7 linked regions of the Canis lupus familiaris genome follow. The protein of the gene in region 4 binds, or shares a complex with, the protein of the main gene of each other region. Links are inferred from orthologs where the notes say so. Each region holds a gene or a part of one and is shown on either strand. Other genes may lie near its edges. The genes, in order: MLXIPL, LRRK2, RIPK2, SFN, PIN1, EIF2AK2 and SOS1.

Region 1 (3,788 bases), on a different chromosome or scaffold from region 4:
ATCCTGCCATGGCCTGTCGGGGGCCCTCTCTGCCCTTCTGGGCTGCACCCAGGGCCTCCTTCCTGAGTTTCCCTCTGCTCCCATCATAACACCGGGCACTCCTGCTGGCCAGGATGCCAAAGACCTGGAAGGACTTGAGTCTCTTCCCCTGGGGGCAGCTCTGGGCCCCTGCCTGGCCTGTGGAGCTAGCCTGCAGTCAGGCACAGCTGGGTCTGGCTCCAGCACTCACGCCACCCCTGGCCGAATGAGGATACTACCCAGAACTTCCAGTTGTGCAGCGTCCGGGTGCGGACATAGTCGTCAAACATGTCTCTCATCTGGTCGAAACGCTGGTGTGTAATGGGCACCCCAGTAGCAGGCAGCTGCTGCTGGCACAAGGCTGGGGGAAAGGGGGGCCAGTCAGGGCTGGGGAGTCGGGCAGGCCTACCCCCTTGCCCCAGTGCCCTTGGTCCCCCACCTACTTGATGGCAGCATTGAGCTCCTCGATCTGGTCCCGTAGCTGCTGGGCCTCCTCCTGCATGGCCGCCCGCTCTTGCTGCAGCATGGCGATGTACTCAGCCGTCTTCTGCAGCGTGGTTGCTTTGCTCACCTGTAGGCATCACCAGGGTAGGCTCAGGTGCTAGAAGTGGCCCCACTCTGTGGCCCACTGAGGCACTGGGTGGAAGGTGGAAACTGGGTGTCCAGAGGTTCCTGGGATTGGGTCTTGGACGGTGGGAGGGGGGCCTACGAAGGAGCCTTATGGTTCTGGGGGTGCCAGCTGGGGCTGGGGGCTCACCTTGAGGCTGGGCTGGGCGCTGAGTGTGCTCACCAGCCCGTGCAAGGTGTCAAACCCCAGCTTGATGTTGAAGCGCCGCTTCTGCTCTGCAGAGATGTGTGTGATGCGCCGGTTCTCAGTCTTGGGGGGCAGACAGTGGGGTGAGCCTAGGAAGGAGCATGGAAGGGCCTAGGGGTAGCAAACAGATCTTGGGATGAGGGAATGGTGCCACCTTATTGTTGTCTGGACGGCCCCGGCTGAGGATGGGTTGAGGGGGAGAGACGTGGACGCTCAGAGTCCCCAGGCCCTGCATGGAGCTGAGCTCCCCAGACAGCCGCCGCTTACCACCTGTGACAGGGACAGACAGACCCACAGACAGACCAACACAGGGGAGAGGGTCCCATTGCCCTGTTCCTCTCATCCTGGCCTCAGATGTCATCCCTCCTTCTTCCTTCCCCTTTCTCCATCCCCTGGAGTTCCCCAAGCCTTGCAAGCTCTCTTTACCGCTGTGTGCTGGGGGTGAGAGCCGCTCCGCTTTGGGGACAATCAGGGGCCTGGGAGGGGCCAATGTGGCTGGGCCTGGAGGTGGCCGGGGCGGTGTGGGGGCCGGGGTCGGGGGGAGGAAGGTGCAGGGGAATTCAGGGGCCATCTCCTGCTGGGGTGGAGAAGGGCAGAGAGTTAAAAGGAGGTAAAGCCTGGGGCCCACCCTCACCTCCCAGTGCCCACCATCTTACCGGGGACCCTGAGGGCCGAAGGAGGGTGCTGGACACAAGTGGTGGTTCCAAGGTTTGCTCAGGCTTGGCTGTACACAGGCAGAACTATGAGCGCCACTGGGGCCAGCCTCAAGACCGTCCCCCCATCCACTGGGGGGACCCAACTCCCAAGGCCCCGTCTCGCCCTTCCAGAAAGTCCTGCTCCCCTTCTGGTTTCAGGGCCCATGTCCCTAATTCCTTGCCACCTCCCCATCCTGCCAGCTGAGCCTGAGCCTGCCCCTTAAACTTCACCCTCTGCTCCCCCAGGCTCCCCACTTCTACATTTGGTCCCACTTTCCCTCTGTGGGATCCTGCTCTTCCCATCTCACCTGCTGTGAGCAGCTGTGTGAGGCAGGGGTTGCTGCCTCCCGCAGTGGCAGTGGAGTTGGCCGTGGCAGGGGCCAAGGTTGGGGGACTGGGCTTCCGCCCTCTAGGGGATGGGGTGGGGGGCCTGCCTCTGGGCCGCATGCTTTGGGGTACTGTGAAGTGGGGCCCAAATTGGGGCTCCAGATATCCCGAGGGTAGAAGGTCTATGGGGAAGGGGGGAGGGGCAGGGCCTGGGCCAGGCTGTGGGGTCGGTGGGAAGGCAGTGGGAGCAGGCAGTGGGGACACTCCTGGGGCAGGTGGGATGGTAGAGAAGGGGAATCTGGGAGAGAAGAGAGGTTCTTCCTGCAGCAAGGCAGGGGGAGGAGCCATGGGAGGGAAGGTGGGGGGGGCACAGGGCTCTAGGCCAGGCCCCTTGGCAAGGGCAGGGTATTGGAAGAGCGGTGGGGGTACTGGAGGGGGTGGCAGCTTGGGCTTGGGGTCTTCAGGAAGGAGGAAATCAGAGTTCAGGAAGGCACTGGAATCTAGCGGGCCAGGGCAGCTGCTCCGGGCCTGGTTGGGGAACAAACAGAGAGCAGGGGGGGAACAGCTGGCTTTTGTAGCCACCCTGGCAGCCTCTTGCCCTGGCTGAGCTCTGGACTGGGCACTGGGAGAGACAGGAGAAATGGTCCCTCCTGTCCCCACCCCCCACACACCAAAGGAAATTGTAATCTAATGAGAGGTGGGAGTGGAACACACGTATGCACCTATTAGGTGTGAGAAAGAGCATCAGTCTTCCTGCCTATATTTGCATTTGCCAGATAATTTCTCCATCCAGCCACCAATCCATCCACTAACCCATCATCCTCCGTTCACCTATATGTCCTCTCACTGCTCTGTCCTCCAGCCCACCAGGTATTAGCCCATTCACCAATCCATCCAACCGTCTCTCCTTAATTCATCCACCAACCCATTCATAATCCATCCACCCATCCACCATCTGTTCCCTGACCAGCCACTTATTCAGCCACCAGCCTATTCATCAACCCATCAAACTATGCATCTTCAAATCCATCTACCAGCCCTTCCATCCAACCGACCACTCACCTACCTAAATGTACACCAACCCATGTAAGCAACCACCTCCATCTACAACCCATCTATCAATTCATCAACACCCCATCCATCTACACACTCATTGGGCAACCATTTACCCAGTGCTGCCAATGTGCTTGGACTGTGCTAGGTATGGAACATGGAGTGGCGAGCAAGGCTTAGCTCTTCCAGCAAGGAGCTCACTGTCTAGTTGAGGAGATCTCTCAACGATGAACTACAAGAATGCCTGAACAGGCTGATGATAGAGGGAAAAGGCTTCTGACCAAGCAGCAGGGAGGTGACATCTGAATTGAGCCTGTGAGTTCCCAATCCACAATGGCAGGTTCACCATTTCCTAAACACTCACACTGAGCTTTCTGTCTCCATGGGCTCATTTGTGCTTGTCTCCTCATCTGGCTTGCCTTCTATTGGTCTCTTTTTCTGTCCAAACCCAATCCATTCACTAAGCCCAGAACCTCCCCTCCTCCAGGAAGCCTTTCACAAGCAACCCACTCTTCAGTGGTACCCTGGCTCCATGCCCCTACCCCCAGCCTCCCTTCTACAACCACCTGGTCCAGTAATGCTTCACGATCTTTCCATCCCAGCTGAATGGTGCCCTCTCACAGGGCAGAGATGGGCTCTCTCTCCCCCTTCAGTCCCTCTCAGTCAACCAAGCACAGGACTGGGCACTCAGGAAGTACCCTATCTCCCAGAAACAGGTAGGTGACCTAGGCAGGACTGAGTGTAGCAGAGCTGGAGCTCACCTGCAGGCGGTTATGCCCTGAGAGGTGGGTCACGCCTGATGAGGCAGGGGGCACCTCTGAGCCCAGGATCCCACTGCTGAAGAAAGGGTCAGCCATGGGGCCAAAGCTGGGGGGCTCCGG
Region 2 (4,264 bases), on a different chromosome or scaffold from region 4:
TGCACAATGGGAAAGAGTCTGGGGTTAAAGAAAAATTTAGTGACTTTCATTTATTTCGTTCTCAAAGGTTGCAACTGTGTGGATAAAGACAAGTAATGTAAAATTAAGGAGCACTGAGAAATGATGAGATGATTGGCAAAAAAAGGAAACTACAGGACAGCTAGCCTAACTACCAATTCTCTAAAGACTGTCATTTATTAAGGAGCAGTAATAAAATGTAAAAAGACCTTGAAAAAAGAATTTGGAGTCTGGAATATCACATTAAATGAATTCTGGAAAGAAACATTAATATTTACTTTTAAATTTACCTTACCTTCTTCAATTCATCATTCAGAAGTTTTAATTCAGCACTTCCAACTAACTCAACATATAAAGCATTAAAGGATGTGTGTGTGTGTATGTGTGTGTGTGTATATATATATATATATATATATATATATATATTACACCACAAATATGAAGAAATCTGAAGAAAAAAAAACCACTTTAAGTGGAGTATTAAAATATTGGTAAAGTGACCCCTTTCTATATTCCCTTGATAAGACCAATGATAATTAAAACTGATAATGTAATTGTGCCTAGCAAGGCCACAGTATTTGTAACAAATCACTGTACTTCTTACTTGCACGAAAAGCTTGTGAATTCAGAACGTATAGTGAAAAGAGATTCTGAAGGTATGTGAAGACTTGAGTCCTGGCTCTGTCATTAGCAATGTGGTACTTAGCTCTGGTAAAATGTAAAGGTAAAAATGTCCAGTGAGATTTCTGAGAGAGCAGTGTGATTCCAGTGAGAATTAAATGATGGGATAACATGCCTTTTGCAGACTAATACATGGTGGGGAAATGAATAATTCTATTCCATTAAGTAACCAAATCAAAAGACAATTCCTTATTTTCTTGCATACTTTGTCTCCGGTACCCACTGGACGAGGTATTAAGTGGCATTCAGAGCCACTCCATGCAAACATGTCCAGGTGTGGATAGCTTCTAAAACAAAGAATGAAGTGGTGGGTGGGTCTGTTCCAGCCTCCCCTGGATTCTCAAGTTTAGCACTGCCTCTCTGGACCCTGCACAGCAAGCCCTCCAAAGGTCCCGCGGGTTCTGAGTGGCACCCAACAGGAAGATCCTCTATACCATGCACGGAAGCCAAGGAATAGAAGCTGCCAGACAAGGCACTTCTGAACACCAAAGCAGAGGCAAGTGAGAAGGGATGATGTGGGAGGGAAGCAGCAAGCACAATGGGCCAGCTCTAAAATGTGACTCATATTTCATGGGCAAAATTCAGGCACTGGATGCTAAAACGAACAGTGTCTCTATCACGCCTCCCATCTTTTCATGATTTTGTTTGCTAACAACTTGAAAATCAATAGTCAGATGGGAGATGTTTCAGTTGAAGAAAATTTAAAATAACCATTTATCCCAAATGTAAATGTCCTCATTTAAAAGAAGCTAGGAATATGGTTCACCCAGACTAGACATAGCTGGATACAGAGATGAATGAACATAAAGATAAAGGTAGATACAGATTTAGAGATCCAGATAATTCCTACTTGCGTCTAGCCTCTCCAGTAAATATTAAGAAACACTGGCTTTCTGACTACACCTTGACAGAGTTCAAAGTTCAATTCTCTTTCTCTTCAGGACCCAACAACATGCAAGTGCCTGATTTCAGTTCTCTAAATCTCAAATTCTACAAAGGAAGTCAATATGTTAGCCAATCATTTGTTTTGACTGTAAATCATCCTCAATTATCATCTTCATTTTTTTTAATATATTGAAGGCATTTAACAAATTTTTGTGTTTCCTGTGGTACTGATTTTAAGTCTCACTTTTATATTCAGTTTATATGAAAAGAGTTGAAAAATACAAATATAAACTTACAGGAGGATGCTAAGACATCGCTTTCTTTAGATAACACAATGCACACTACAATTAAAGGCCAGAAATCTGTTCTCAAATTTAAAAAAGAAAGAAACAAAGCTTAAACCTATGAGAATTTGCCAGTTACTTCATTTTATTAATTTAATCATCATTAATTTTTTAGTGGCTAATTATTCTCCTTTCCCTAACTGTTCACAGCGGTGTCATCTCTAGAACATGCTGTTCTTGGTAAGATTCTTAGAATAATTTGATTAAATGCTGATACTGGTGAACTCATCTAGCCAATCACAGAAGTAAATTTCAACTTCTGATTATTTCCTACCCACCACCAACCATATTTTGTAGGTCAGTTGTATAAACCTACTTCTCCAAAACAATTAGGGAGCTCTTAGCGGGCCCTTTCACATCAGTAACATTTGACCATGACTTGTATCGCTTCCTTCTTCAAATCACAGTCAGTGGTTTGAGAAGCCAAATGCCAGAATTAACCCAGAACTTTTGGGTGTATAATATTGACAGAAAAACATCTATTTCCAGACAGAAAGGAGAACGGGTGACATGAAAACAACTCCTTTACCTGCTGCACACTAGCGACTCTCATATACAAGTCCAAGACGATCAACACAGGCACGTGGACTTTTTTGCCTTGAAATAACTTGGAGGCTGGAAGAGAAGGGGGTGAGGGAAAAAGAAGCAAAGTCACCATCCACGCACAGGGGATGAAACAGGGGGAGAAAGCAAAAGAAGTGAGCGCAAGACCTCCCTACAATTCTCAGCTCCTTTCTGCCCTAAGGAGTTGACAGTCTGTGGCTTCTCACGAGCCCAGGTTTGTGCAACTCGGAAAAACGCGAGGGAGAAAGTTTGCAAAAAAGAGGCGGGAGGGGAGCGGAGGAGAGAGTTTCCTTGCGACTCATTACCGTGGTCGGCGTACGTGAACACCAGCATATCCTCCAGGATTTGGACCAGGGTCTCTATCTGTTTTCCTTCCTGGACATTGTTCAGCCTGACTATCAACTTCTTCAGAGTTTCCTCGTCCTCCTCCTCGCAGCCCTGACAGCTGCCACTGGCCATGACGGACTCTGCTCCACGCGGGTCCCTCCCTCGCGGAGGCCGGCGGCTGGGGCCGGGATAGGGGCGGGGGTTAGAGCCGGGGGTTAGGGCTCGGGGTTAGAGCCTAGAGCCGGGGGTTAGGGCTCGGGTTAGAGCCCGGGGTTGGGGCTCGGGGTTAGAGCGGGGGGTTAGAGCCCGGGGTTAGCACCCGGGGTTAGAGCCCAGGGTTAGGGCTCGGGGTTAGAGCCCGGGGTTAGAGCCCGGGGTTAGGGCTCGGGGTTAGAGCCCGGGGTTAGAGCCCGGGGTTAGGGCTGGGGCAGGGCCTGGGGCAGGGGCCGGGGAGGTGGGGGGGGGGGTAGGGGGCGGGGTTAGGGACCGGAGTTAGGGCTCGGGGTTAGGGCTCGGGGTAGGGCCCAGGGTTAGGACCCGGGGTTAGGACCCGGGCCCGGGGCTCCGCCGCCGCTCGCGGGCACGAGCACAGCTCAGCGCCGCAGCCTGCGCTCCCCGCCCGCCCCGTCCGCGCCCACGCCCGCCGCTCGGGGAGGAAGGCCCCGCGCCCCGCGCCCCGCGCCGCCCTCGCTCGCCGCAGCCCTCCTCCCCGGCTGCCTCCTCCCCCACCAGGGCCGCAAAGAGGAGCTCAGCGGCCTGCGGAGGCTCGGCCGAGGGAGGGCGCGTGCGGCTGGGGCTGGGCCCGGCCGGGTGGCCCCGGTCCCCGACCCGGAGAGCGCCGCCTCCCGGGACCCGCTCCTGCTCCCCGCGGCGGCGCGGCCGGGAGTCGCGCGGGAGGAAACGGAGCCCCAGGCCCGGGCCCGCCGCCCCCGCCCCCGCCCCCGCCCCCTCCCGCCGCGCCCCCGCCCCCTCCCGCCGCCCCTGCCGCGCCCCGGGCCCCGCTCCTTGAGCGCCGCGGAGGGGCCGCCCGCTAGGAAACCTAAAAAATGAAAGCCGCCGCCTATCTCCAGATCTAAGAATAGAAATCTGGGCGTCGGGAAAGGAGGGCACCGCCCAGTTGGCCCCTTTTAGGAGAACATGTTCTTTAGAGTTCCCCCTATAGGGAAATGAATAATTTCCCACCAGGGATGGAGAGGGATTTCTGCAATCAAAATGTGCCCGGCTGAAGGCTCTTTTTTTTTTTTTTTTTTTTTTTTTTTTTTCCTGTGGTTGCTGTGGCTTTTTGTAGGGGAGCAAATCCCTTCCCACCCAGCCACCCATTCCTCCCGCCCCCTCAGTTATTTATCGTAAAGCTCCGTTGGCCAAAAGTTCACTAAAATTAACTTTTGGAAATTTGAGTTTGCGCTCCGTAGGGTCTTGATAATTGGGGCGCACCAAAGAATAAG
Region 3 (3,089 bases), on a different chromosome or scaffold from region 4:
TGACCAGGATGTTGATATTTTAGCTAATAGGAATAGCTAAGGACTCTTCTACCCCTAATGAAGATGTTGTGTTTTGTAGGAAAAACTCAAGACTTTTCTCCGGTGTGTCACTATCCAGTAAATCACAGTTGCAATAGTAACATCTCTGCAGCTCAGAAGTGGACGTTTTGTGATCACAAGACCACCCCATGCGCGTTAACAGTAATAAATCCATTCTCAGCTGAGGGAAACACAGGTAAATATTTAACACTTGTAAATGATGCTCTTTACCTTACAACTGTACGCTCAGATTTCCCACACAGTTAGTTTTATTCATCTTTATTTCTTCAACACAATAAACACATACCTTCTTAAATAGGAAAGCACTTGCAATCCTAGAAGATATGAGTGCTGACATGTGATAATAGGCCCACATGGTATTCCATGAACATCTATCTAGGGAGGGAGGTGTGACTTAGTATGTTACTAAAAGTAAAGTTTTTTGTTTTTGTTTTTAATAATAAATTTATTTTTTATTGGTGCTCAATTTGCCAACATACAGAATAACACCCAGTGCTCATCTCTATGTATAATATAGATTGGGTTTTTACCCCCATGGATTTATAAACATATAAAAGGACTTTTTCTGGGAAGGGAACTGAAGGGAAAAGAAGAGATAACCCAAATATCTGAGTGTTTCCCAAAAATTAACAGCATCCCCCAATTCCTGTATTCCCTATTAGCATAATCACAGAAAGTTAGGTTTTACTCCTCATTATTTCTTTTTTATCCAGTTTTACTCATAGCCATAGAGCTGTCCTCAACTGCTTTGTTATCCTTTGCTCTTCTGCAGAGCGATTACAGCCTGGCATAGCCCAGCAGTGGATCCAGAGTAAAAGGGAAGACATTGTGAGCCAGATGACAGAAGCCTGCCTTAACCAGTCGCTAGATGCTCTCCTGTCCAGGGACTTGATCATGAAGGAGGACTATGAACTCGTTAGTACTAAACCTACAAGGACCTCAAAAGTCAGACAGTTACTGGACACCAGTGACATCCAAGGAGAAGAATTTGCCAGAATTATAGTACAAAAGTTGAAAGATAACAAGCAAATGGGTCTTCAGCCTTACCCGGAAATACTTGTGGTTTCTCGATCACAACCTTTAAATTCATTTCAAAATAAAAACTTATAAGTGACTCTTTTTCAAGAAGAAAAGTCTTTCTATAAGAGGTTATTTTATATTTCTGTTGCCTTTATCATGTCGTTTTTATAAAATCCACATGAATATTAGAAGTTTTAATTGAAGTTTCTTCTTCAGGTAAATATTAGTCTTCTTCCATAACATTATAGTATGTTTTTAAATTAATATATTGGAAAGTTTGTGTTTTGCTACATGGTTCCATTGTTTTGTCTCCTTGGTTAATTGAAATTATTTTTTAAATGTAATAGTTCTCATATATCACAATGCCTTGAGGTGTCATGCATTGCTCATGGAAGCCATTTTCATATTCACTTTCCTTGTGGATGATTTATTACTTGTCAAAGATACAGTTTGGCTTTTGGAACTTTAACCTTTATACTCAAATTAGAGTTAGCGCACCATTTCTAACATAGAGTGCCAGGTTCAAATCCTCTCCAAAAGGTTATGCATTAAACTGTGTTATCCAGATTACATTTTTTAAATCTTCTTCATTGAATTCTTAAAAAAAAAAAAAAAGTTTCAAAGGTCAAATGATACAAAGGAGATGAAGAAAAAAATCTTTCAACATATGTTTCTGCTCTCACTTCTAACCTCAGCTAGCAACCAAGGTGACTAAAACTAACAGCACAATATTTATCCTTCTATACCCTTCTTCCTACTGACATGTATATGCTCATTTGGGAAAGGGTTTTTCGTTAATATTATTACAGTACATCATACTACAACCTAATTTTTGCACTTAATAGTACATCATGCACAGCCTTCCAGGTCATGTATAAATCTAACTCATTCTTTTTAACTGCTGCATAGTATCAAGGCTGCTTTTTTATTTTTTTAACTTGTTCAAGTTTAGCCAAAACAATAATGATACAATGTGAAGTGGGGTTTTTTTTGTTTGTTTTGTTTTGGTTTGTTTTGGTTTATGTCACTAAATGAAAACTTACAAGGCATAATTGCTCTTCTGAAAATGTTTATTAGTAATGTCATCAAAAACTGTGATGCAGGATAAATTTGAAAGTACAGACTTTCAAGAAGGACCAGACCCACCGTATGAAAAAAGAAGAAGAAGAGTAAAAATGACCAGAAAGCATGGGGGCAATTATATATTTTATTAAAATATTTAGTATTTTAATCTCCATTTGGAGCTTGACATTAACCCGTGGTGCCTCATTACTATGTCTCTGAGAAATATGGAAATTAGTAGGGAAAAATAGAAACCAATTAAGTATACGAGTTATCATATCTCTTATTTTTAAAGTGTTAGGATAAAGATTTAATTTGGGAAATAAGTTGAGAAGATGGGATCGTTTTAGGTAGTACATAGACACAGCACCAAATAACATTTAAGTCAAACAGTAAGGAAATTCTTTTCAGTTCTTCTTTGAGCCTTTTTAAATAAGTAAAGGAGAATGTCACAATTGTGCGGTGTTCTTTTAATCCCCCTTGTTAAGAAAAACAGACTTCAGGCTCAGAACTTAAGAAACCGTATTTAGCCAGAATTTTATAGTTTTTTTTAATTGCATTTTATTTGAAAATGACCTCCATATGACAAGCGGTACTAGTTTTGTATCTATAATATATAAAGTTTCATTTCATAATATTCAAACAGAAAGATAGTGAGAAATACTAAATTGTACTACGATATGGGAGTATGACAGCAATCAGAAGTAGTAGGATGACATTAAGATTCAGTCACTCAAGGAGGGGACTTAATCTATAATTATCTATTTTAACAAGCTGGTACTAAATAATCTGAAAGTGGCGTTCTTTGCAGTATATTTTAAAAGAATATTACCCACAAGTGTACTCCACAGAGCAGCTGCATTAGCATCGCCCGTAGCTTGTGAGAAATGTAAATTTGTGGCCCCTACCTCAAACCCGGATCAATCTCGGATAATAAGGATCAGAAA
Region 4 (3,279 bases):
TCGGCCTCGGGCCCGCCCCCGCCCCGCCCCCGCCCCCGGGCCGTGGAGGTGGGAGCCGGCCAGCTGGCCGCGGGTCCCGGCGTGTCGGGGCCGCGGGAGGGGGCGGAGGCGTTGATCTGGCCCGGCCTGGGCGGGCCTCCGCCCCCCGCGGCCCTGCCCACCCCGCCCGCGGCTCCTCCTCGCCGGACCCTTTCTTTCCGTCCCCGAGTCGGAGCGCTGGGGGCGGGGGCATCCCCTCTCAGATACGGGCTTTTAATGGCGGCGCAAGCCTCTACCCAGATTGTGCTCCCCTCCTCTCAGATCTGAGCACTGGATGGGCCTCTAACTCGCTTTCAAGGCCGGGGTGCTCGCTGCGGCTCACTACAACCTGTCCTTGTCGCTCGGACCTCACACCTGAGAGGCTTTCCTGTCCCCTCAGATCTGGACTCTTCAGCCCCCCGCCCTGCAGCCCTAGAGCAGCCTTAGGGCCGCCTTTGCGCTCCCCCGACCGTCCGGGACCAGACCAGCTTGCTGGGGGCCACCCTGATGGAGAGCTGGACCTCCTGCCCCCCAGCCTCTCACCTGGGGTCACTGGCTCCAGAGTCTTGCCTGTGGGTCCCTGAGCCAGCCCCGTGAGAGGTCAAGGCCCTAAATCAGAAGTCAAGGTCTCTAAATCATAAGCCAGTCCTTGTCCCATCGCTTCGCCAATAACTGGAAGAGACAGGAGGAGTGTCACAGGGGAGCTTTATTGAGAGGAAACAGGGTCACACCCAGCAGACATGCTTTCCCTTTCATCCGGGTCTTGCGCGCTCTCACTCGTGCTCTCACTCGCTCTCGCTCTTTCACACACACACACTCATCTCCAGGCTCTGCCATACAGTCCAGCTCTCAGCCACAAGGGTGGGACACTCCTCAATTCCTAAGATTCAGAGGCAACGGGGGGCAGGAGGGAGGCAGGAGGGGGAGGAAGTGGCCCGGTTGGCGGTGGGGTTTCGGGGAGGGGTGCGGAGAGCAGGGGTGGGCGGGCCCCGACAGCGGCAGGAAGAGCGAGTCCCCCGGCCCTAGCCGGCCTCAGCTCTGCTGCTTCCTCTCCTCGGAGCTCTCGTGAGCAGGAGGCAGAGCATTGGGGTAGGAGGGTCGGGCCTCGCACCCCACACTAGTCCTCTCTGCCACGGGCGGGCGGGGTGCTGGAGAGGGCAGGGCGCGGCGGGGAGGGCGCGGTGGGCGGCTCAGCTCTGGGGTTCCTCGGGAGCCTCGCCCCCCTCTTCCCCGGCGTTGTCGGCGGTCCACAGCGTCAGGTTGTCTCTCAGCAGCTGCATGATGAGGGTGCTGTCTTTGTAGGAGTCCTCGCTGAGGGTGTGCAGGTCAGCCATGGCCTCGTCGAAGGTGGTCTTGGCCAGTGAGATGGCCTCCTCGGGGCTGTTGGCGATCTCGTAGTGGAAGACAGAAAAGTTCAGGGCCAGGCCCAGGCGGATGGGGTTGGTGGGTGGCATCTCCTTCTTGCTGATGTCCATGGCCTCCTGGTAGGCGGACCGGGCTGAGTCAATGATGCGCTTCTTGTCGTCACCAGTGGCCACCTCGGCCAGGTAGCGGTAGTAGTCGCCCTTCATCTTCAGGTAGAAGACTCGACTTTCGGCATCCCCGGCCTCCTTGATGAGGTGGCTGTCCAGCAGGCCCAGCACCGTGTCACACACGCCCCGGAGCTCGGTCTCCACCTTCTCCCGGTACTCTCGCACCTCCGGGCCCTTCTCTTCCGAGCTCTCCTCATTGCCTTTCTGCTCGATACTGGACAGGACCCTCCAGGCAGCCCTCTGGCCCCCCACCACGTTCTTGTAGGCCACCGAGAGCAGGTTTCGCTCTTCGCAGGACAGCTCCTCACCCTTTTCCACGGCGCTCTTCATGAAGGCTGCCATGTCCTCGTAGCGCTCAGCCTGTTCTGCCAACTTGGCCTTCTGGATCAGACTGGCTCTCTCCATGGCTCTGGTGACAGACAGGCGGCGGGCTAACTGGCTGCCTTGAAACCGATGCCGGATTCTGTGCCTCTCCTGCTCTCTGCCTGCCTTTTGGCTGGAAGGTCTGGCCCCAGAGAGGGGTGGGGAGGGACCGAGGGCGGGGCTGGGGCCCGGGACCTGCCTCCCTCTGGTCTTCTCCCCACACCCTTTCCGGCTCTTCCTTAAAGGTAAAAGGCTGGGATGTAGGGTGAGTCATCGGGGCTCAGTCTGCGGGAGAACTCCGCCGGGCGTCGGCCCCACCTGCACAGGACACCTTTCCAAGCTCCAGGCTGCCCCCTCTTGTTCGGTGCTTTGATTCCATGAGTGCCCACCCAGATGCCCCAGTTTCTCAAATCAGATCCTCCTTCATGGTGTTCTTCCAGGGGCCAGGGATGGCTTCAACCAAGTGGCCGCTTCAGCCTGGCTAGAGCGCATGAAGACAGGTGCACCCAGGAGGATGGGGTTCTTAATCCTACCAGGTACATTTTCCACCTTGGTTTGGGTGAGATAATTATGTTTAGGTAGGGCTGTAGTTTCCCAAGCACCTTCACAGCCACGATTGGATTGAATCCTTACTATGTCTCTGTGAGATGGGCCAGACTATGACTTTTACTCCCACTTTAGAGGTGGGAATGCTAAGGCTCAGAGAGGGATGAGATTTGCTCAAGGTCACACAGCTAATAAATCCCCTGTATCCTACTTCCTTTGGCTTCTCTCGTCAAGGCCTCTGACTTGTAAGCTCCAGACTGTATTTAGAAGTGAAATCCAGGCTTCTTCCGGAGTCTACCTGAAATGGTTCTCTCCCTTGGTCATCACCCCCCCTCAGGGTTCCCTCTGAGGTCCCAGAATGCACAGGTGGCATCGTTCAGGGTGCCACTTAATGAGGTATTTAATGAGCGGCCCCTGACGCTCCAGCCCAGCCTTTGTAATTAGTCATCCAGTAGGTTTGTTGGACACCTTCCCCATCACAGCACAATTTTCCCTTTCAAGTTGGTGGCCTGTTACCACTTGTTTGAGGACCTACCCTCTGGCTCTCCACGCCAGGTCACCTACCCCCTCCAAGCCGCCTGCCATCATGTATCAGTGGGGCTCACACAGGGTGGGGGCCCAGCTCTCCTGCCTGACTCAGCCTGCCTTCTGTCAAAGGCTGGGAAGCAGGCCACTTGGGTGCTCAGCCCAATTTGGTTCCCCAAGGGGGACGCTAGCACCTGGAGAGAGAGACAGGACCAAGATAAAGAAGGTGGCGGTGACACATACCATTTTGTTTTATAGGGTAGCAGTACCAGGTGAGTGCTGCCTCCCCCAGTCT
Region 5 (4,437 bases), on a different chromosome or scaffold from region 4:
TTAATTAATTTAAATAGTAACAGCCATGTGTAGGTAGTGGCAGCCATACCAGGCAGCTCCATACCAGGGTTCTGCAACTTATGGCCCTAGTGAGCTAAATGCTGCTGATTTCATAGTTTTCTTGGCACCTACACACCAGGTATGGGCAGGTATGTGACAACACCCATTTTACAGAGGGGAAAACTGAGTCTCAAGATGACACAAGCTCCCCCTGGAGCTTACAGGGCATAGCCACCATCTGAACCCAGGGCTGCCAGCCCCCAAGGCTGGGTCCTCCTCTCGTAACCTGGCTCACCCTCAAATGCCAAATAGAAAGAAAAAGGAGAGGCAGCTGTGCAGTCCAGGCTCACGTCACGTACAGGCAGTTCGGTGGCAGCCAATGCTGACAGCTGAGTTAGCTGGGGTGCAGGGCCTGGTGTGATTTCTACGAGGCTGGCTCCAGCTCCCAATGAGGGGACAACCTCTCCCCACATTCCCCCCACTCCAACCTGCTTCCAACTCTGCTCACCATTAATCAGCTCCAGGGCCTCCTCCTTGGTCCTGGTGATCTTCTCCTGTCGCCAGGATGAGGGCCGCCGGGACTGGCTGTGCTTGACAAGCAGGTGCGAGCAGCGGACCCTGGTGGGCTCCCCTTGTCCATTTTTGCTGCCACTGCTGCTGTTGCCACTCGGCCGCTCCCACTGGCTGGCATTAGTAATGTGATTGAAGTAGTATACCCGGCCTGGAGGAGGGGGGATACAGGAATTCAGCTGGGACCTGCTCAAAGGACACCACCCGGAGGCCAAGATGACGGACCGGCCAATGGGATTCCTTCATTCAACAAATCCCCTGAGTCCACCTCGAGCTACAGGCCCCGAGGGAGCCAGCATTCTAGATGGGGATGGGCAGGCCCCAGACAAGCAAATAAGACAATGTCATAACTTCAGTTATTAGTGACTTCAAGGAGGAAAACCACCCAGAGTGACAGGAGAGACGAAGCCGGTGTGGGGACAGGCAGCCAGGCTGCCTGTTCAAGTCTGGCTGTCACTCACTGTGTGAGCTAACCTCTCTGGGCCTTGATTTTGTCACCTGTAAAATGCAGATAACAACAGTCCCTGCCTGTAGGGTTGTGCTAAGGACTGAGTGAGCTCACAGCGGTAACACACTTAGACTAGTGCCCAGTACACATTAGGAGCGTGACAGCTATCATCTCCCTGTAGACGACAGAAGTGAGGCCTCACCTTCCACACCTTTGGAATGTTTCCTGAGTGTACACTTGGCCCCAGGCACACATGGCTGGAGGCAGGAATTAAACCCAGGTTGCCAAACATGAAAGCTCTGTTCTTAACCCGCACCCAGTGTACAGCGCTGCACAACTATGGACCAGCAGTACAGGGGGGTCAAACGTTACCCAGGGCCCAAGGAGCAGGAAGGAGGGAAGGCCACAAGAGAGAAGATTGAGGTAGAACCCAGGAGAGCCCAGGCATCATTCCAGGGGCTGAGATTTTTGCACGACTGGCACCCAGCACCGTGAAGAACTGAAGGTCACCCCTGAGGAAGACCATTAGGGTGGAGCCGAGCAGAAATGGCCAGAGAGGGGGCCCAGAACAGGGCAGAGCATCAGGATTCATGCTGTCAGCTGTGGCCACGGAGCAGGGCTGGAGCGGGCTCAGTGAGAGCTGAGCCAGTGACCGACCCTAAAACCTTGCAATGGCCTCTCTCTCCATGAACCTTGGTTTTCTCATCTGAAAAGTGGGGGTGAAGCGAGAGATTAAGGACATAACTTCACGGGGCTAATGTGGAGAACAGTGATGATCCGTGCAAAGTGCTCACCAGAGGGCCTGGCCTTCAATGAGCAGATATCACTGTGACTGTGATTTTTATGGGCTGGGGAGGCAGTGCGGTGAGATGCTGGGCCTGCTCCTCACTGGTCTGCAGTGACAAGGGCAGGCGGGCTCTGCTGTCAGACTGACCGGACTCTAATCCAGCCCCCACCCCCTGAAATGAATGACCTTGGGGGAGCTCCTTAAGTTTTCTGACTTCTGCTTCCTCACCTGCAAAACGGGGTGATAACTATCCACCTCCCAGAGTTGTGGTCATTCAGAGAGAGAGAGGGAGAACACACTCCAAACACACTTGGCACAGGGCTGGGCGGTAAGATGAGCGTGCGGTTACGGGTATTATTACTGTGGATAAGCCTCAGATCGGGCTCCCGGCACAGGGTCCATCCACCGGGCGGCGACGACAGACTCGGGTTAGGCGGGGATGGCCGGCGGGTTAGCAGGGGCAGGTTGTGGGCCCGAGGCCCGGCAACGCTCTGAGGCCACGCCCTGAGCGTGGGGTTGGGGTGTCCTTCCCCGGGGTGCCCCCCGGGCCCAGCAGGGTGCAGACACGGTCCCCGGGGACGTCGGGTGCAATAGGCCAAAAGGTGTCAGCCGGATCGGCAGGGCCAGGGCCATCACCTGGGGGAGTGCTGCGGGATCCCCGGCCCCCCGCCCCCGCCCCCCCCACCCCCGGCAGCGCGCTGGGTCTCTCCGGCCCCGCCCCTTGCCTCAGTTTCCTCCGGCATCCCCGCTCCTGAGGTTCGCAGCCCCCACGGGGCGGGCCCGGGCCGTTACCCTGGGAAGACGCGGAGGAGCCAAGACCCCACGGGAATCGGGCGGCGGCGCCGCGCCCCAGGGGCGAGCTCGAGCCCTGCTTCCGCGGGCCCGCGCGGCCCCGCCCCAGCCCCGACCCCCGCGGCACCTGAGCTGCGGCTCATGCGCTTCTCCCAGCCGGGCGGCAGCTTCTCCTCGTCCGCCATCTTCCCTCCTGCCGCAGCGCCCGCTCCGCCTCCGCCGCACCGCCTATGCCGCCCGCACCCGCCCACCGCCGCCGCCGATTGGCTCGGCCCGCCTCGCCCCGGGGCCCGGCGACGATGCTCATTGGGCGCCCGAGCAGTCCGGAGAGGCCTTCGGGCTTTCTATTGGGTAGCGGCGAGACTGGGCGGACCCTCCGTGCGTTCTACCGGGTCCCGCCCCCGTACGGCCTCCCCCGGATCCCGCCCCCTTCCTCCCTCGGCCGCTGACTGGTAGGGAAGGGGCTGGAGCCCGTCCTTCTCCACAGCCTCCGGCGAGCTTCACAGAAGTCCGGGCACCTCCTTTGCGTCCTTCGCCGCAGGCCCCATCCGATTGGCTACTGCGGCAGTAGTTCCCGCCTTCCTCAGCCGTTCCCGGAGGCCCGCGCCCCCTTATGCGGAAGTGTCCGGGTGGTTTCGAGGTGACGGCAGCCCACGAGGTACTTGAAAGAGGCGGTGCTGCCTTAGCTGTTGCCGTAGCAACGCAGTTGCCTTGGTGATGAGCAGCGAAGAAGCCTAAATTTGGCTCCTCCATCCTCCTTCTCCCCACCTGTTTCCTCCAGATGTCCAAAGCTGTCCCCCCACTTTTTTTTTTTCTTTTGCGAGACTAACCCTTTCCCTGTGCCACTGACCAAACATCTTCTACTTCCTTTGGAACCTACTTAACTTATTCTCTCGGTCTGGCTCCTGCCTCTGTCCTGGGTGACTGGTGGGTGTTGGCATGGCCACTTAGCTGGCGACACAGGAGGATGCGTCTGTAGGAGGATGATGAGCTCAGTTTGAATCGTCTTAAAATTGAGTCTGCGGCACCTGTGGGACTCTGGGGAGGTGCCTGGGGACAGGCTGGAGATAGATACGAGAGGCAAAGACACCAACAAGGAAGAGTTCAATGATAGTTCATCTAGAACTAGACCCCTATGTGACCATTGAAAAAGAATGAGGCGGGGATCCCTGGGTGGCTCAGTGGCGTAGCACCTGCCTTCAGCTCAGGGCGTGATCCTGGAGTCCCGGAATCGAGTACCACATCGGGCTCCATGCATGGAGCCTGCTTCTCCCTCTTCCTGTCTCTGCCTCTCTCTGTGTGTGTCTCTCGTGAATAAATAAAATCTTAAAAAAAAAAAAATGAGGCACAGTCATATAAAACATGGGAAAACATGTCTACAAGAAATAGGATATAGTAGGTTAAGAGCATTCAAGAGCCAGATCGCTTGTGTTCAAAGCCTGGCTATGACTTTGAAGAAACTAATCTCTGTGTTTCAGCTTTTCAGCTTCTCCATCTGCAAATGAGAATAAGAAATATATATATCTCATACATACCTTTGATGCAAAAATTGAGTTAATCTGTAGAATGCTCTCCAAACAGCGTCTGCCTCATAGCAAAAATATGTTTGATGAGTGAAAAGAAAAGCTAGTCACTGTACAGTGTAGCAATTATAGTATGTATGAAAGCATAACAAATCAACAAACATTAATTGAAAATAATTAGTTATAGAAAGATATCAAAGCATTAAAAAAAACAAAAAGGAAGCTGCAGAATATGTATAATTATCTTAATTGTGTAAAAACTATATACCAAAATTTCTGGATTCATTCAAATATGTTAATGACTAGCACTGGTAATT
Region 6 (3,788 bases), on a different chromosome or scaffold from region 4:
TCTCACTGTTTCCTTTCCTATGCATTCAACTTCATAGGCTGTCTTTAGTGCTGGCATTCTAAAGAGGTAATTTTCAGGCTTTGCCCACTACTTCCTAGATATACCTCTGACTCTAGGCTCTACAGAAAAGGAGATGGAGGAAAAAGACCCAACTTCTGAATGTAAAAGTACTTGTGAATAGCTTTATTCTGTGTGTGTTTTCTTGCAAAGTAAAGTTAGAAGGGGCATTTACTCACCTTGTTTTCTTTATGAAGTATTTCAAGAGCTAATTTGGCTGCAGTATTTCTGGCCTCCTTCTTTGATTTACCTTCAGCTTCTGGATATTCTCTCTCATCTATGATAGCTTGGAATGTAAATCTGATTACAAAGGCAATATTCATAAAATGTTATAAAATTCCTGCATTATCTACAGACAAGTATTCCAATCACACTGTCTCCCATAACTACCTTGAAGGTTTTAACCTGTTCAATATAGAATTTAAGCAGTCACCCTCACTCAGCCAAATAGCACATCATCTTTGCTCTAGAGCTAATTATGTACTTCAAAATCATGCCAGAGTTGCCATTCTTCCAGTTCATATTTTATACAGCTATACCTTTAAAAAAAAAAACAGCAATTTGGGGTGCCTGGCTAGCTCAGTCAGTAGAGCATGCAATTCTCGATTTCAGGGTTGTCAGGTTGAGACCCACAATGGGTATTGAGAATGCTTTAAAAAAGTCTTTAGAAAGTAGAAATTTACCTTAAGTTATGTGCAGGTCCTTCCTTAGACAGTTCATTATACTTAAGTACCTTTCTGTGCTTCTGACAGAATATATTAAGTTCTTCAATAAAAAAACTTGGTGGACGCTGATTGGCCATTTCCTCTAGTAACCTAGAACAGAAGAGATGTTTGAAAAAAGTGACACAGAATATATTTAATCTCATTTTCCCAATTCAGTGCAGGAGACAAAAAAGGATCAGAAGAATTTTCTTTTTTTAAAAAAATTACTTATTTATTCATGAGAGACACAGAGAAGAGAGAGAGAGAGAGGCAGAGACACAGGCAGAGAGAGAAGCAGGCTCCATGCAGGGAGCCCGATGCGGGACTCGATCCCCGACTCCAGGATCACACCCTGGGCCGAGGGCAGGCGCTCAACTGCTGAGCCACCCAAGCGTCTCAAGAATTTTCTTATAGACTCATTTCAGCCCCACATAAATCCAGAGAAAACGTCTTACAAAATCTTTTTCTCTCATGAACTGCACACCAAGCTAATTTCTCCAAAACTTTCTACTTCCAAAACTCAACTGGTCAAAAAAAGGAAAGGGGTCTTTTTCTTCCACTTTTCTCTCTGCTGCCAGTGAGTGTCAGGTACAGGTATCTCCACCTGCGTGAGAAGGTAAAAAGGCTACACGAGTAGAATCAGAATTCTTCATGATGAGAAAAAAAAGGTTGAGAGTATACATATAAAGTGAAGTCTATAAATGATCGAAGATTTCACTATATAGAAATAGATGCCCCAATGAAATCTCAAAAATCTTCCCTTTAAAATATGCATTAGTCACTTTTACCTGGATAAATAATGACCCCAATTTATGGGTCTATTAGACCAAGAGAGTAGCAGTGATTTAAGTCATAATGAAAATCTAAAAAAATATAGAATCTAAATATAGAAGCCAAAACTATAAAACTCTTAGAAGAAAAAATAAGGGTAATCTTCATAATCTTGGATTTGGCAATGGAATCTTTGCGATGACAGCAAAAGCACAAGCAGCAAAAGAAAACAGATAGATTGGGCTTTAACAAAAGTAAAAACACATCTGTGTTACATAGGACACTATGGAGAAAATGAAAAGACAATTTACAGAATAGGATATCTATAGATCTCCTCTCTGCTCTACTAACACTCACTCCCCTGGTGATCACCTCTAGACTTATGGGTTTAAATTTCACCTACACAATGATGGTTATCACCATCATTAACACCTCTACCCCTGACTATTTCATGACTCTGTTTCTGTTCAATAGGCTGCCTCCTTGACTTCACTCCTTCCACTGCCTCCACCTGGTCAACTCCCATTTCCTAGAGATCACAGCTCAGAGGTCCCTTCCCAGAGACCCTAGAAGTCCTTGTTTGGCACTCCATCACAGCTCTTATTCACTTTACTGCAATTGCTTATATAAATGACTATCTTCCAAAAGAGACCATGAGCCACAAGAGGGAGGGGGCCAGGCTGTTATTATAGGGGGTCAATAATCAATGAATGAATACCAAAATATCAGCAGACCTTCCTCCATCTGCATTACTTGTCACATGCTTTTCGCTTTGCTCTGAATGCAGTATCTACACCTTCTGTCTACCAGGCAACTCCTACTCATCTGTGAGGCTGACAAGTTTTCTTTGATGTTGGAGGGGCAGCCAGTACTCCTCCAAGGGCCTGCCACTCCACCTGGCTCAGCCCTCATAACAGCCCAGTCAGTGAGCTTTTTGGGAAGCAGGTTCCACGTCCTATTCATCTTTGTATCACCAATACCCAGTGACAAGTAGTAAATGTCCAACACTTGGATAGTGTATAGGAAAATGAAAGGATGACCTGTTAAAACTAAATACTCTACTTGAAACCCCCTCATCTGCTCCCTTTTCTTCATCTGCTATTTTCTGGGGATCCTTTCTTCATTTATTCAATAAACACTCATCGAGTGCCAGGCACCATTCTGACAATGAGTATACAGATGTGGACAAGACAAATGAACACCTGACCTGAGGGAAGACAGGAAATGGCCATGCACAGAAACAGATAACGGGAGTGGATAATATGATAAGATGGCCAGAAGTGCTATTGTGAAATTAGATAGGGGTGTGGCATAGAAGGTGAGTTGGTAGGTAGAGGCAGAGATATGAGGGAGGTGGTTTTTAGATACAGTGGTCAGGAAAGACCTTTCATAGGAGGCAATTTTAAATGAAGACTGAATGATGAGTCCATTATATCAAGATATGGGGGAAAAGTAACTCAGTAACCACCATGGCCTTTGAAGGGAGAATAAAAACATCAAGGGATCAAGGGGATGGCTGCATAGTGAGTGAGGGGGAAAAAAGCAGGAAGTGAGTCAGAGAGGTCAGCGCGTATAGATCTTATAGGTCATGGTCGCAACTGATGGATGGTATTCCAATTGCAATAGGAAGTTACTGGACATTCTCTAAGTAGAGAGGGGATGTGATTGGATTAATGGTTTTTTTATTTTTATTTTATTTTTTATTTATTTATTTATTTATTTATTTATTTATTTATTTATTTATTTTTTATTCATAGACACAGAGAGAGAGAGGCAGAGACACAGGCAGAGGGAGAAGCAGGCTCTACACAGGGAGCCCGATGCGGGACTCGATCCCGGGTCTCCATGATCATACCCCAGGCTGCAGGCGGCGCCAAACCGCTGCGCCACCAGGGCTGCCCTAATGGGGGGTTTTTTGTTGTTTTTTTGTTGTTGTTGTTGTTTTAAGATTTTTATTTATTTGAGAGAGCAAGTGCTCGAGAGAACACAAGTGAGGGTGCAGAGTGGAGGGAGAAGCAGGCTCCCCACTGAGCAGGGAAACCGATGTGGGGCTCGATCCCAGGACGCTGGGATCATGACCTGAGATGAAGGCAGACGCTTAACCGACTGAGCCACCGAGGCACCCCTGGATTTCTGTTCTAAATTATTATTCTGATACTATGTAAAGAATAAGGTATGGCGGCAGGGACCGGTGTGGACAGGGGAGCAGACCACAAGAAGCAAGGAGACCAAGCAGAGGCTGCTGCTGAGGTTCAG
Region 7 (3,788 bases), on a different chromosome or scaffold from region 4:
TATTAATTCAGATAACATTGCTTCCACTTTCTTAATTATAATATGTGCATGTTTGTTAGCTTTAGGATTTGTCCACTTAAACACTTCTAAATAATTTTTTTAAAGTCTTTTAAACGATTTTTTTCACTATATTGGGCTACTTTTTAATATTTGTCATTCTAAATATTTAGAAGTCAAGGTAGAAATAATCATTCCATAGCTAAATTTATAGAGTAGAATTTTGTCATTACTCATTGTTCTTTTTAGAGCACTAAAAAAAGTCTCTACTGTGTTGCTTTAGTTCCTAAAATGGTGCAGTTTTATAACACTAATATATTTGGAAAATTAATGAAAGCCTTCTCCGTGCAACTTTTTAAAATGTACTTTTATATTGTCCTTTATTTTATGAATTCTAGATTGTCTGTCATCTGTGTACTAATGATGTTTTTTTCCTTTATCCCAGTGAATCTGCATGTCGGTTTTATAGTCAGCAAATGAAGGGGAAACAACTAGCAATCAAGAAAATGAACGAGATTCAAAAGAATATTGATGGTTGGGAGGGAAAAGACATTGGACAATGTTGCAATGAATTTATAATGGAAGGAACTCTTACACGTGTAGGAGCCAAACATGAGAGACACATATTTCTCTTTGATGGCTTAATGATTTGCTGTAAATCAAATCATGGGCAGCCAAGACTTCCTGGTGCTAGCAATGCAGAATATCGTCTTAAAGAAAAGTTTTTCATGAGAAAGGTACAAATTAATGACAAAGATGACACCAGTGAGTACAAGCATGCTTTTGAAATAATTTTAAAAGATGAAAATAGTGTTATATTTTCTGCCAAGTCAGCTGAAGAGAAAAACAATTGGATGGCAGCATTGATATCTTTACAGTACCGGAGTACACTGGAAAGGATGCTTGATGTGACGATGCTACAGGAAGAGAAGGAGGAGCAGATGAGGCTCCCTAGTGCCGATGTTTATAGATTTGCAGAGCCTGACTCTGAAGAGAATATAATATTTGAAGAAAACATGCAGCCCAAGGCTGGAATTCCAATTATCAAAGCAGGAACTGTTATTAAACTTATAGAGAGGCTCACGTACCATATGTACGCAGGTAAGAAATATAAAGTTGCCTGTCACTTTTATTTTCCTGCTTCCAACTGATTTTCTTTGCTGCACAGGTCATTGTGCCTAAAATAGAAAGCAAACTAACAACAAAAGATCTCTGCATTATTCCGAGTTCATTTTCCTTTGCCTAAAAATACTGCCATTTGTACCTTTTCTGCCACATTTAAATATTATTTTTAACTTTACAACCAGAATTACAAGTAAGAAAATAAAATCACTTGGCTAAATTTACCCAATTGGTGGCAGAAACAAGATAAATCATCATTAGGGTCTAAAAACCTTTACCTTTTTTTTTCTTTCTTTCTTCTCTTTCCATTACTGAGATCTTAAAGTCAGTAAAAATTTTAGTATACATTCATTACCAGAACTGTGCTGGAATATGCGCATTGCTTTTTCTTAATTTCCATTCCTAAAACTTTCATTAAAGTTTTCAATATTTTTTTTCTGTTTTACAATTGATCACATTTAAGAAAACAGTATTACCTTAGCAGGGCAGTTTTTAAGAGACAAATGCATCCAAACTACCTAGGAAGATTGGTGGAAGCCAAATCAAATGTAATGTTGGGAGAGTTTAGGAACAAACATGATTTTTTTTTTTTAAAGTAATTCTATTTCTTCTAGTAAAGTAACCCATGATAATCCAATGTTCCTCAACCTTCAACTTTCCTACACGATAGAAAGCTTGGTAATTGTACAGTGCTGTAGCCTATGGTATAGTGGAAAGAGCACCAAATCTGGATTTACACCCTCACTCTGTCACAGTTCCCTAAGGTCCCAGACCTCAGTTTTCATCCCAAAAATCAACATCCCAACAGCAACCTTAGAATGTTATTGGAAAGAACAGATCAACGACTATATGCAAAAGCTCTTTGTAAATATAAATGTAAAATTTCAAAGAATGTTTTTATTACAAAGATCTATAAACTCAAACGTATATCTTATAACATAAATGCTCTTCTGAAGTAGTTGAATGTGAATGTTAACCTCCATCCCTATACTTCTTGCTTAAATATATTCTTATTTCTAAGAGATGTGTATTTCTAAGGGAGGTGGGGGTCTTTTGGTTTGTTTTGTTTTTTCATTTTTTAAAGTCCTCTAAATGGGTTCTCAGTTCTCTCTGGAAACTGTTCTGGCACCAGTTAAACTTTTAAAGATTACCCATTAACTGATCCATTGTAATAAAGATGAATAGCATTTGATAATATTAATCTGTTTGATTTATTAAATGTCCAGTCAGAACTACTTAAATGGCCTGGAAACTATCAGGGCCTCTTTGCAAAAAAAGTAAAATCAAGTTAGAATATTTTTATCAAAAAAAAAAAAAAGAATATTTTTATCAGTGATATCAAAACACTTTCGTTAATATCATGTTTCATTATCTCCACATGTCTCTGGGATAAATAAGCCAGTTTTGTTTTGGTTTTAATTTTTATTTGGCCTCCAATTGGTAGTTCTTTTGCTAGCTAGCCTTTTCCATAGTAAAATATTAGTGTTTTCCATAGGTTATTAAAAGCAGTTTGGATTCTCTAAACAGATTCCATTTGGTAGTAGCAGGCAGTAGCTGAAACACGTTGAAGATCATGCAAGAAACCTACTCTGGGATTCCAATTTTACTACTGATTTTTCACCTAGAAACTTCTGCTATCAGTGTTTTCATTTTACTGACTCAAAAATGAAAAAAAGCACAGGAAAGTTAAATAAGCTGCCTAAGATTTTACATAAAAAAGAAACAGATTACTCTAGCATCTTTTTTTATGTTATATAAAACTTTTTGAGAGGTATAATTTTCAGTAATTAATATGACTAACCTATTTTGTGATCTTCATCAGTTTCTGTGTACTCTTTAAGATCAAAATCAACTACAAAAATGTTTCATTAAATTACTCGAAACTTGTGGTTGCAGAATACTTCTTTCTTTGATTTTTAAGAATTTTTAAGGTTGTTACACAAGTTCAAATTGTTCTTCTTGCCACATTATTCTCAGTCTTAGATGATTCACTGATTTCATTAGCATGAACATCCTAAACTGTTTTTTATTTTAAATACCTTTGCTTTGAGTTCTTAGACTGTATTAAATTAATCCTTAGATTTTTATCTACATAAGACAAAAGTTTTACTGTTTTTTTTTTCCTGTAGAGCAATGTTAAGTAGAAAGTGCTAAAGAAGACTTATTATGTCACCATAGTGGCATTTAAATTGGAAAACATTTTCAGATTCCAAATTTTTTAATATAATTGTTTCTGTAAAACTTGATTGTTGATAAAGTTTTTTTTAAAAACTGCATTTCACAGAACTAACTTATTAGTAAACAGTTGCAGAACTACAATTAAATATTTTCTGGAAACTCTGCTTTTTATTTATTTTTTGAATTGAAAACACTTTAAAACAAAACTTGAACAAGCATAGCTGAGAGTTTTTCTGTAGTCTTGATTATTTTTTCTCCTTAATGTACACAATGCTAGCCAAGTCTGTAGACATAGTACTTTTGCTGTAGTGTCTTGTGAGTTATTTTTGATTGTGGCTCTTCTTTATATTAACCTTTAGCTTTTGAATAGAGTAGTATTTTCAATGGTTTTACTTCTAGTTAGTATAAAACACTGAAATTTCTAGATCTACAGGACTTTGTAAGCCTAAGTGTATTCACATTTAAACTGACAAGATTATTTTACTTTTTTA

What was found.
Region 1: the proteins of SFN (region 4) and MLXIPL are in contact, whole or in part, in a crystal structure (PDB 8BTQ), measured with the Homo sapiens proteins. The link is inferred for Canis lupus familiaris from reciprocal best matches to the Homo sapiens genes SFN and MLXIPL. Residues at the interface, in NP_006133.1 of Homo sapiens: Gly53, Arg56, Ala57, Arg60, Gln67, Arg129, Val178, Tyr181, Glu182, Lys214, Thr217, Leu218, Gln221, Leu222, Arg224, Asp225, Asn226, Leu229, Trp230; in NP_116569.1 of Homo sapiens: Arg117, Ile120, Arg121, Asn124, Trp127, Arg128, Ala129, Trp130, Tyr131, Ile132, Tyr134.
Region 2: the proteins of SFN (region 4) and LRRK2 are in contact, whole or in part, in a crystal structure (PDB 5MYC), measured with the Homo sapiens proteins. The link is inferred for Canis lupus familiaris from reciprocal best matches to the Homo sapiens genes SFN and LRRK2. Residues at the interface, in NP_006133.1 of Homo sapiens: Lys11, Glu14, Glu39, Asn42, Leu43, Ser45, Val46, Lys49, Asn50, Arg56, Arg60, Phe119, Lys122, Arg129, Tyr130, Pro167, Ile168, Gly171, Leu174, Asn175, Val178, Tyr181, Glu182, Asp215, Leu218, Ile219, Leu222, Asp225, Asn226, Leu229; in NP_940980.4 of Homo sapiens: Lys907, Ser908, Asn909, Ser910, Ile911, Ser912, Val913, Gly914, Glu915, Phe916, Tyr917, Arg918.
Region 3: the proteins of SFN (region 4) and RIPK2 are in contact, whole or in part, in a crystal structure (PDB 7OBS), measured with the Homo sapiens proteins. The link is inferred for Canis lupus familiaris from reciprocal best matches to the Homo sapiens genes SFN and RIPK2. Residues at the interface, in NP_006133.1 of Homo sapiens: Lys49, Arg56, Arg60, Lys122, Asp126, Arg129, Tyr130, Pro167, Gly171, Leu174, Asn175, Val178, Tyr181, Glu182, Ile219, Leu222, Asp225, Asn226, Leu229, Trp230; in NP_003812.1 of Homo sapiens: Leu535, Gln536, Asn537, Lys538, Ser539, Met540.
Region 5: the proteins of SFN (region 4) and PIN1 are in contact, whole or in part, in a crystal structure (PDB 7AOG), measured with the Homo sapiens proteins. The link is inferred for Canis lupus familiaris from reciprocal best matches to the Homo sapiens genes SFN and PIN1. Residues at the interface, in NP_006133.1 of Homo sapiens: Tyr19, Lys49, Asn50, Arg56, Arg60, Lys122, Asp126, Arg129, Tyr130, Pro167, Gly171, Leu174, Asn175, Val178, Glu182, Ile219, Leu222, Asn226, Leu229, Trp230; in NP_006212.1 of Homo sapiens: Arg68, Arg69, Pro70, Ser71, Ser72, Trp73, Arg74, Glu76.
Region 6: the proteins of SFN (region 4) and EIF2AK2 are in contact, whole or in part, in a crystal structure (PDB 7OBK), measured with the Homo sapiens proteins. The link is inferred for Canis lupus familiaris from reciprocal best matches to the Homo sapiens genes SFN and EIF2AK2. Residues at the interface, in NP_006133.1 of Homo sapiens: Lys49, Arg56, Lys122, Asp126, Arg129, Tyr130, Glu133, Gly171, Leu174, Asn175, Val178, Glu182, Leu222, Asp225, Asn226, Leu229, Trp230; in NP_001129123.1 of Homo sapiens: Asn546, Glu547, Arg548, His549, Thr550, Cys551.
Region 7: the proteins of SFN (region 4) and SOS1 are in contact, whole or in part, in a crystal structure (PDB 6Y44), measured with the Homo sapiens proteins. The link is inferred for Canis lupus familiaris from reciprocal best matches to the Homo sapiens genes SFN and SOS1. Residues at the interface, in NP_006133.1 of Homo sapiens: Glu14, Asn42, Ser45, Val46, Lys49, Arg56, Phe119, Lys122, Arg129, Tyr130, Pro167, Ile168, Gly171, Leu174, Asn175, Val178, Glu182, Leu218, Ile219, Leu222, Asp225, Asn226, Leu229, Trp230; in NP_005624.2 of Homo sapiens: Arg1158, Pro1159, Glu1160, Ser1161, Ala1162, Pro1163, Ala1164, Glu1165, Ser1166.

The regions. Positions count from the first base shown.
Region 1 is NC_049227.1:6,563,086-6,566,873, reverse strand, and holds part of MLXIPL (carbohydrate-responsive element-binding protein), read right to left. Parts: coding exon 3,669-3,788; intron 2,383-3,668; coding exon 1,836-2,382; intron 1,557-1,835; coding exon 1,489-1,556; intron 1,410-1,488; coding exon 987-1,409; intron 922-986; coding exon of another isoform or gene 896-921; coding exon 776-895; intron 590-775; coding exon 462-589; intron 380-461; coding exon of another isoform or gene 379-379; coding exon 255-378; intron 1-254. UniProt on the Homo sapiens protein: Binds DNA as a heterodimer with MLX/TCFL4 and activates transcription. Binds to the canonical E box sequence 5'-CACGTG-3'. Plays a role in transcriptional activation of glycolytic target genes. Involved in glucose-responsive gene regulation.
Region 2 is NC_049248.1:33,158,449-33,162,712, reverse strand, and holds the start of LRRK2 (leucine-rich repeat serine/threonine-protein kinase 2), read right to left. Parts: upstream 3,054-4,264; 5' UTR 2,952-3,053; coding exon 2,798-2,951; intron 2,544-2,797; coding exon 2,458-2,543; intron 1-2,457. UniProt on the Homo sapiens protein: Serine/threonine-protein kinase which phosphorylates a broad range of proteins involved in multiple processes such as neuronal plasticity, innate immunity, autophagy, and vesicle trafficking.
Region 3 is NC_049250.1:35,952,902-35,955,990, forward strand, and holds the end of RIPK2 (receptor-interacting serine/threonine-protein kinase 2), read left to right. Parts: intron 1-79; coding exon 80-235; intron 236-832; coding exon 833-1,170; 3' UTR 1,171-2,335; downstream 2,336-3,089.
Region 4 is NC_049223.1:72,665,026-72,668,304, forward strand, and holds SFN (14-3-3 protein sigma), read right to left. Parts: upstream 2,056-3,279; 5' UTR 1,956-2,055; coding exon 1,209-1,955; 3' UTR 707-1,208; downstream 1-706. UniProt on the Homo sapiens protein: Adapter protein implicated in the regulation of a large spectrum of both general and specialized signaling pathways. Binds to a large number of partners, usually by recognition of a phosphoserine or phosphothreonine motif.
Region 5 is NC_049241.1:51,560,242-51,564,678, forward strand, and holds the start of PIN1 (peptidyl-prolyl cis-trans isomerase NIMA-interacting 1), read right to left. Parts: upstream 2,931-4,437; 5' UTR 2,783-2,930; coding exon 2,725-2,782; intron 722-2,724; coding exon 509-721; intron 1-508. UniProt on the Homo sapiens protein: Peptidyl-prolyl cis/trans isomerase (PPIase) that binds to and isomerizes specific phosphorylated Ser/Thr-Pro (pSer/Thr-Pro) motifs.
Region 6 is NC_049238.1:29,682,676-29,686,463, forward strand, and holds part of EIF2AK2 (interferon-induced, double-stranded RNA-activated protein kinase), read right to left. Parts: intron 873-3,788; 5' UTR 860-872; coding exon 741-859; intron 358-740; coding exon 237-357; intron 1-236.
Region 7 is NC_049238.1:31,204,725-31,208,512, reverse strand, and holds part of SOS1 (son of sevenless homolog 1), read left to right. Parts: intron 1-442; coding exon 443-1,098; intron 1,099-3,788.